2 linked regions of the Neurospora crassa OR74A genome follow. The protein of the gene in region 2 purifies or fractionates together with the protein of the main gene of each other region. This does not show direct contact. Links are inferred from orthologs where the notes say so. Each region holds a gene or a part of one and is shown on either strand. Other genes may lie near its edges.

Region 1 (4,102 bases), on a different chromosome or scaffold from region 2:
GCTGCTCCAAAAGCGCAGCAAAGTTCTCGTATCCCTCTTGGTCTTGGTAGCCGGCCTTTCTCCATTCCGCAATCGTCTCACCATGGAAGATCAGAATGTGGAAGAAGGTATCGAGCAGGAGGATGTGGGTAGGCTGAATGGAGGTAGAGTCGAGCAGAACGGGGACACCGCCTTCTTGGTCGAAGGTGTAGGAGTCGAGCGTTGGTTGAATCATGATGAGCGAGTTACTAACATCCTCATGGTTGAGAACGTGCCGATAGAATGCGGTCTCATCGGGAGAGTTGTTAAAGACTTGCAAGAACTGACTCCTACGCAAGTGGAACATGAACTGTGGGTACAGCGTGAAGTTCTTTTCCAAGCGGAACGATGACGGGTCGTCCTTGCGGTAATCGGCAAATCTGGCGCAGAGCCTGATGAGCATGCGGTCAACCCACCGGAGCACATCAGGCCCATCGTCAACCTCCGCCTTGAAAACAGCGATACGCGACATAAGCACGGCTGCTGCCTCCTGGTCAAATGACTGCGCGATGGCCGGGTCTCCGGCGGGGCCGCTGAGGTTTCGGGCAATGGTGGTCACCCGAAGGTGGAAGTGGCCAGACGAGTGCTGGTAATAAGTCAAGAACTGCATCATTCCCTTTTGGGGACTCTGCATGTTCTGGGACGGGCCGCCTTGGTTGGCGATTTCGAAGTAGATACCGTAGCTGGAGCTGGGGTCGATACCGCACATCTTCCACGTGCAAGTGTTACCTATGCCGCACTCGGTTTCGCCGACGGACGTCGATTTTTTGTTGAGAGAGACTGCATGACCAATCAACCCAGTAACCTTGAGTTCCTTCGTTGTAAGTACTTCCAAAACCGCATTGAAGCCCATGAGCAGATTGTCATCCGCGTCCTTTTCGAAAATGCGGACGAATGACTGCTTGAACATGGATGAGGTGAAGCTGTCCGTCAGAATCATGTGGCCACCCGTCGAGTTGCACAGACCCTTCATTTCAAGTAGACCAACTTGATCAAGACAGCCGGCAAAAATGTCAATAGTGTGGCCGTTGTGCGCCGTTCGCTTAGCGAGGTTGTCGTAGAACTATAATAAATGTTAGCATGACACAGACTGTTTCCTGCACCACAACTTGAAGATGAACGTACCTTGAGTGCCTTCTTGTAATACTTGATGTTGTCACGGTCGATATCGTGATGGGAGCGGATCGGTTCCCTCAGCTCGGGGCCAACAACCATGCCAGGTCCCTCAGTGGCCGGACCACCAGCAAAGAGCATAATGCGACCACCGGCATTCTGGAACGACGTTTCGAGCAGGCCAACAGCTACGGACAACGCAACACCGGTGCAGCGCAAGGCTCTGAGGTTACCGGCAACAGGCCAGGGATCCTTCTGAAGCTGCTCAATGGCCTTGGTCAACTGGAACTCGGCCTGAGAGACCGGAAGCAAGAATCTTGAGGCAGGGCCGGCCGGGAAGGGCCTGCCAGGCTGTTGCATAGGCATGCCCGGACGCATGGCAGGTTGTACGAGCCCAAGCATCTCCTGGACCTGCTTGGCCGCGTACTCCTTGTTACCGCGGAAAACATATGATTTAGGGCACTCGGTATAGCCAATCTCGTGGACCTGGGCCATGGTGCCGTATGTAATCAGGCCGACAAGGGCGTGCTCGGGCAATAGGCTCAAGCTCATGATGAGCGACTCCTTGAGAGCAGCCAAGCTGTCCTCCTCCTGGCACGTATCGACGACATAGAGGAAGATCGGAGGGGCGGGGGCGGGCCGCGAGAGCCTGTACTCGATGGTAGTGTTGGAAGGGTGCAGCTCGGGTGGAATCGCATTTGCGGTGATGTCCTTGTAGTGTGGCGGGAGAGGATTCCTCGAGAGACAGAAGGGGCAGATCCACAGGCGGGCGCGCACATCGACTTGACTGGGCGAGGGTATCAGCAATGGGCGCGACAAGTCGGGGCGACGAAGATGGCTCACCAGTAGGGGTTTAACACGGAGCGGCAGGGCTGCTTGCAACTGACGGGGTCGAACTGCAGCAGAGGCGTGTCGGGCTTCTCCTTGAGAGGGGTATAAAGGGCGCCGATGGGGACGACGAGTCTCGAAGCTTCCTGAAGAAAGGGTCAGCGATAAAGGGGTGACGCGAAGTAGCAAGTATGCGAAAGAGCGGAACTGACCATGCGGGTGCTGGGGAAGACATTCCAGCTCAGACGAACGCCATCACGGTCCTCGACCTCGCCCCATTGCTCCTTGAGGGCTTCGTAATCCATGTTGATGTCGGCGGCGGCGTCCTCGGTCGATGGTCGCAGTCGGGGATAGAGAGGAACAGCTGGAGAGGGGTGATGGTGGTGTCGGCGGTTTGTTGGATTAGAAGATTAAGGGAATTAATGTGGATGATCCGTCGTCTACGCGGTGGTAGCTCCAGAGATAGGTACGGGGCGGGCGGCGGGCAACGGGCAACGTCGTCGGGCGGCTACGTGCAAGGTGTCATTAGCTCCGAGACCTGGAACGCACGAGACACTCGAGACATCCACCGTCCACCACACAGTCCACAGCAGCTGTCTTGCGGCAGGCGGGACCTGAGGCTAGATGTGGAAGCTAGGGGGAAAAGCGGGCTCCGTGCGAGTACATACCGCGGGGGGAGGCAATAAGGTATGGACGGGATCCCAGTTGTGGTGTGTCGCCAGGAAGATGCAACAACTGAACTGAAGAACCTCTTTTTCGACGCTCCTGAAAATTCAAGGTCCACTTTAAAGTGTTGACTGTCGTCCAGGAAGCCCTGCGCAAGATCACAGAGTTAACGACGCGCTGCTCTTCTGCAATCGGTCAAGTCGTTTGCGACAAGGTGATGGGATCAAAATGTTCAGAAATACCCCAATCGCTTCTACTGCAATGGAAGCCGACTGCAACAGGCGATAGTATCAATTTCTGATTTGCGGCTCTGTTGTCATTTGCTCCCCTCCAGTTGTTGAAAAGGACAGGTACCTCGTTCCCCTCCATCGAAAGGCAGGGGGCAGCTCTGCTGACAGACGACGGGAGGCTGCTTGCCAGCTGGTGCGTAGCCGACGAGCTGACGCCAATCACCACTTACCTCACCGTGCCACCGCGGCCGCCGTGGTAAACTGCATCTCCAAGCTGCAAGTTGCAACCTTTGTTCCGTCAGCACGAAATTGTCGGATGTACCAAGTGTTTTCCCGGTGCAGTGATGTTCCCGCGGCGTCGGATCATGAATGAAAAACAACATTGGCGAATCGCGACATCTCGACATGGAAATTGAATAGGTACCTATTCAGCATCGTATGCTTGCCCTCACCATCGACGCCTCGGGAGACGTCAAGCTTTGATTCCGTTACCCTTGGGCTCCAGTCATGATTCCGACCTGTGGCCGGCTGGCCGTTGAGTTTTGGCTAGCTCTGATTAGCCTGCTCGCATCTCTGTCCTAATGCTCGGTCTTGTGTCGATCCTACCACTCATGCCAGCATTTGGTGTTCTTCAAGAACCGTACCCTGCTCGCCCCATCCTGTTTCAGCCCACTGTGTCGAGCACGACCAAAATACCTTTTTGTGTTACCGTCGGGTTATCCTGAAGAATCCGCCTGTCGCGGGGGAACTCAATCAAACAACTCGCTCGCTCGCAGGCTCAGTCAGTCAAGCCAGCAGATGGTAAACTCGCGGCTGTGCTGCATCGCACAAACGCCCGCTCTCCGGTGATCACCCTCTCTGTTCTGAGCAGGCTCACTTTTACTTGTTACTCGACGAGTAGGGATCAGCCTTATCTCCTACTGTAGTGCTGACTTGATGCAACCCTTGGGTACGCTAAGATACGAAAGGGGCCGAGCAGCCGCCAGGTAGCAGTCAACAGGCACCATTGACAGTCCACGGTGATATTACCGTGGCTCACCTCTCCCGACCTCGTTTATAATTACAGTCGGATCCTATAGGATCATCACCTACCACCATGTCTCGATGGCGCTTCAGGGGAGCTAGCCCTTTTCGTGGGTAGAAAGCTGACACGCGTAGCATTTTGCTCAGAAATTTCTTCCTCCTCTCCCATTCTTCTCTTCTCTCTCTTGTTGCCCTCTGAAATCAGTCATCATGGTCAGGAGGTC
Region 2 (4,072 bases):
GCCTGAAAGGAAATGCCACACCCTCCGAGCTCCAGCCCCATTCTGGCTCAATGCGTGTTGTACAGTAGGTAGTAACGGTATATCGGATCCGGATCGTGGAGGCATTGGACTATGGGACCTTGAGGTCCCTTTGGACTCTGAATGGCCAGGTGGGCGGCGCGCCGCAGCGTCTTTGGGGTCACCATGTACAGCGGGGTAGCTAACACCCATGGTACTACACTACTGTAGTGTATGTATGTAGTACGTTACAAGGGTACCGAGCTCCCTGGCTTCTAGCCCCGCCTTCTTCCAGCCGGGCGCCGAGCAGTCCGGGGAGAGACTCCGGGACGTACTGGGTATCGGCGTGCCGGGGCGGAGCCGTATGGCCGGCGCGCGCCTCGTATAAGCACGGGCGGGGACGTGTCCTACAACCCCTGAGGACCCGGTTCTCGGTCGGGTCGAGGGTCGTCGTTTGCTCTTGTCACTCGCTTGCTCCACCCAAAGTGGCATGCGGGTTCCTGCGACGTCCGGACAAACGGACTCTCTCGAATCTCGATAAGACGACAGTTGCAGCCTGCCAACTTTCCGCGTGTTGTCCTGTTCCATTTCGTTTTCTGTGATACCTACCTAGCAGCATCGTTGGCCTGTGGCCTCTGTACAGGCCATCCGGTGGTGCATGCGACAACCACTGACCGCCTTGTTGTCCGTACTGCGGGGGAGGGGCAAATAGGAAATCCCAGGGCAGCATGTCTCGCTTCCTTGGAGAGACCTGACAGCCTGGCCATCTGGACATCGGTGCTCGAGCGGTGCTGCAGCATCCGAACCTCGATTCACTGTAAATCTCGAACTGAAGAAATGGAACGAACCCCAAGTCAAACAAGATGAAGCTTTGATCTGTCAGCAGCTTTGTAGAACGCATTCGAAGGTTCCGGCCGCACCGTTGCTTTACCAGGTGTGTCGGGCGACCTGAAGATCCTCGGAGCGATGGCAGAAGGCGTGCCTGGAGCCCGGAACAGCCAGGGCATGGAAGCAGACAGAGTGGCAGAATGGAAGTGTACCTATGGGCGAAAAGCACGGACCTTTGTCGCCCCAGAAAAGGCTCCGCTCATACTTCGTCATCCAAATGGTCGCCTGGCGGGGCGGTTTGTCAGTCAGTGACACTGACAGTTGAATCAGATGCCCGCTGTTGCTGTTGCCGCTCCCCAGCTGCTGGCCACCAGCTGCTTGCCCCTGGTTGGCTGGCCTTGGAGGGAGCAAGCGGTCGGTGCCACTCGCCGGCGCAGCGGTGCTTGCTTGCTTGCTTGCTTTGGCTCGAACCGTCCTTTCCATGCCTGGCCGTGACAACCTGAACGTAAACGAAACCAACTCCAACACCAAAACGCAAAGGCACTTCGTCCCTCCGACTGGTCCTTTTTTTTGTTTCCATCCCAACACCATTCACCTTCACCTCGCCGTCCAACCTCCAAAGAATCCCTTTATCAGCGGGTCTTGAGGCTACGAATTCTGGTTTCTTTTTCTCCAAAACCACTTCTTCCCGCTACATCCTCTCCGTGGATTAGCATCACCGTCCGCGATACCCAAATACCACATTTATTCTACTGATTCCAACACAAACGTCAAGATGGCTCCCGAACCTAATCCCGACCACGTCGAGCAGAAGAAGAAGGTCAACTTGATGTACGTGAAGCAGCGACGCTGATCGCGGGAGCTCTCGAAGCTGTCGCGCCCCCTCATCGCGAATGACGCCAAGCTGACTTGAAGCCAAACAGGGACGCTTCTGGTGCCGAGCACAAGGCCGTATGTTCAACCTCGCTTGCCCGCCAAAGACATCTCGAGAACCACTCGTGCTGACCGATGGAACAGGAAGATGATACCGCCACTGCTATTCTCAAGAAGAAGAAGAAGCCCAACCAGTTGATGTAGGTTGACGTTGAAGATGCGGGGCACTGCAACCTGAGCTAACACATATGCAGGGTTACTGACGCCGTCAACGATGATAACTCGATTATCGCCCTCTCCAACAACACCATGGAGCAGCTCCAGCTCTTCCGTGGTGATACCGTTCTCGTCCGCGGAAAGAAGAGAAAGGACACCGTCTTGATTGTTCTTGCCGATGACGATCTTGACGATGGCAGCGCACGCCTCAACCGTGTCGTTCGCCACAACCTCCGTGTCAAGCACGGCGACATCATCACCATTCACCCTTGTCCCGATATCAAATATGTTAGTCTATAACCCGGTCACCTAGTCATAGAATGGGCACCTTGCTGACACAGCATCTCCTTGTAGGCCAAGCGTATTGCCGTCCTCCCGATCGCCGATACCGTTGAGGGCATCACCGGATCTCTCTTCGACGTCTTCCTTGCTCCCTACTTCCGCGAGGCCTACCGCCCTGTCAGGCAAGGCGATCTCTTTATTGTCCGCGGTGGTATGAGGCAAGTCGAGTTCAAGGTCGTCGAGGTGGACCCACCAGAGTACGGTATTGTCGCTCAGGATACCGTCATCCACTGCGAGGGCGAGCCCATCCAGCGTGACGAGGAGGAGAACAACCTCAACGAGGTTGGTTACGATGATATTGGTGGTTGCCGTAAGCAGATGGCTCAGATCCGCGAAATGGTTGAGCTGCCCCTCAGGCATCCTCAGCTTTTCAAGTCCATTGGTATCAAGCCGCCCCGTGGTGTCCTGCTTTATGGCCCTCCTGGTACCGGTAAGACTTTGATGGCTCGCGCTGTTGCCAACGAGACTGGTGCCTTTTTCTTCTTGATCAACGGCCCCGAGATCATGTCCAAGATGGCCGGTGAATCCGAGTCGAATTTGCGCAAGGCTTTCGAGGAGGCTGAGAAGAACTCGCCCGCTATCATCTTCATTGATGAGATCGACTCGATCGCCCCCAAGCGTGAGAAGACCAACGGCGAGGTTGAGCGCCGCGTCGTCTCCCAGCTCCTTACTCTCATGGATGGTATGAAGGCCCGTTCCAACGTTGTTGTTATGGCTGCCACCAACCGTCCCAACTCGATCGATCCCGCTCTCCGTCGTTTCGGCCGTTTCGATCGCGAGGTCGATATCGGCATCCCCGACCCTACCGGTCGTCTTGAGATTCTCCAGATCCACACCAAGAACATGAAGCTTGCCGATGACGTCGATCTCGAGCAGATTGCTGCTGAGACCCACGGTTACGTTGGTTCTGATATTGCTGCCCTCTGCTCCGAGGCTGCCATGCAGCAGATTCGTGAGAAGATGGATCTCATCGATCTGGACGAAGACACTATCGACGCCGAGGTCCTTGACTCTCTTGGTGTTACCCAAGAGAACTTCCGCTTTGCTCTCGGTGTCTCCAACCCCTCGGCTCTTCGCGAGGTTGCCGTTGTCGAGGTTCCCAACGTCCGCTGGGAGGATATCGGTGGTCTCGAGACTGTCAAGCAGGAGCTCAGGGAGAGTGTCCAGTACCCCGTCGACCATCCCGAAAAGTTCCTCAAGTTTGGCCTTTCGCCATCTCGCGGTGTTCTTTTCTACGGTCCTCCTGGTACCGGTAAGACAATGTTGGCCAAGGCTGTTGCCAACGAGTGCGCAGCCAACTTCATTTCCGTCAAGGGTCCCGAACTGCTTTCCATGTGGTTCGGTGAGTCTGAGAGCAACATCCGTGATATCTTCGACAAGGCTCGCGCTGCTGCTCCTTGCGTCGTCTTCCTCGACGAGTTGGATTCTATCGCCAAGGCCCGTGGTGGCTCTGTTGGTGATGCTGGTGGCGCTTCTGACCGTGTTGTTAACCAGCTTCTTACCGGTAAGTTGATTCTTCCTTGGTTTGTGCCATTCTGCTGTGCATACTAACCTGAGCTATAGAAATGGACGGCATGACCTCCAAGAAGAATGTTTTCGTTATTGGTGCTACCAACCGTCCCGAGCAGCTCGACCCAGCGCTCTGCCGTCCCGGCCGTCTCGACTCCCTCATCTACGTTCCCCTTCCTGATGAGGCGGGTCGTCTCGGTATTCTCAAGGCTCAGCTCCGCAAGACCCCTGTCGCTGCCGATGTTGACCTGAACTACATCGCTTCCAAGACCCACGGCTTCTCTGGTGCCGATCTTGGCTTCATCAC

Evidence for each region. Proteins that work in one complex are often made in the same cells at the same time.
Region 1: the proteins of NCU00018 (region 2) and NCU01318 purify together in Saccharomyces cerevisiae (affinity purification with mass spectrometry; 3 studies listed by BioGRID, with this or other methods). This does not show direct contact. The link is inferred for Neurospora crassa OR74A from reciprocal best matches to the Saccharomyces cerevisiae genes CDC48 and SEC23.

What each region holds. Positions count from the first base shown.
Region 1 is NC_026505.1:3,643,713-3,647,814, forward strand, and holds the start of NCU01318 (protein transporter sec-23), read right to left. Parts: upstream 2,945-4,102; 5' UTR 2,628-2,944; intron 2,468-2,627; 5' UTR 2,265-2,467; coding exon 2,172-2,264; intron 2,106-2,171; coding exon 1,975-2,105; intron 1,919-1,974; coding exon 1,144-1,918; intron 1,082-1,143; coding exon 1-1,081. Other genes in the region: NCU01319 (hypothetical protein), read left to right, coding at 4,089-4,102. UniProt on the Saccharomyces cerevisiae protein: Component of the coat protein complex II (COPII) which promotes the formation of transport vesicles from the endoplasmic reticulum (ER).
Region 2 is NC_026503.1:2,304,935-2,309,006, forward strand, and holds the start of NCU00018 (cell division control protein Cdc48), read left to right. Parts: upstream 1-1,170; 5' UTR 1,171-1,600; coding exon 1,601-1,656; intron 1,657-1,748; coding exon 1,749-1,776; intron 1,777-1,842; coding exon 1,843-1,898; intron 1,899-1,952; coding exon 1,953-2,202; intron 2,203-2,268; coding exon 2,269-3,760; intron 3,761-3,819; coding exon 3,820-4,072. UniProt on the Saccharomyces cerevisiae protein: ATP-dependent chaperone which probably uses the energy provided by ATP hydrolysis to generate mechanical force to unfold substrate proteins, disassemble protein complexes, and disaggregate protein aggregates.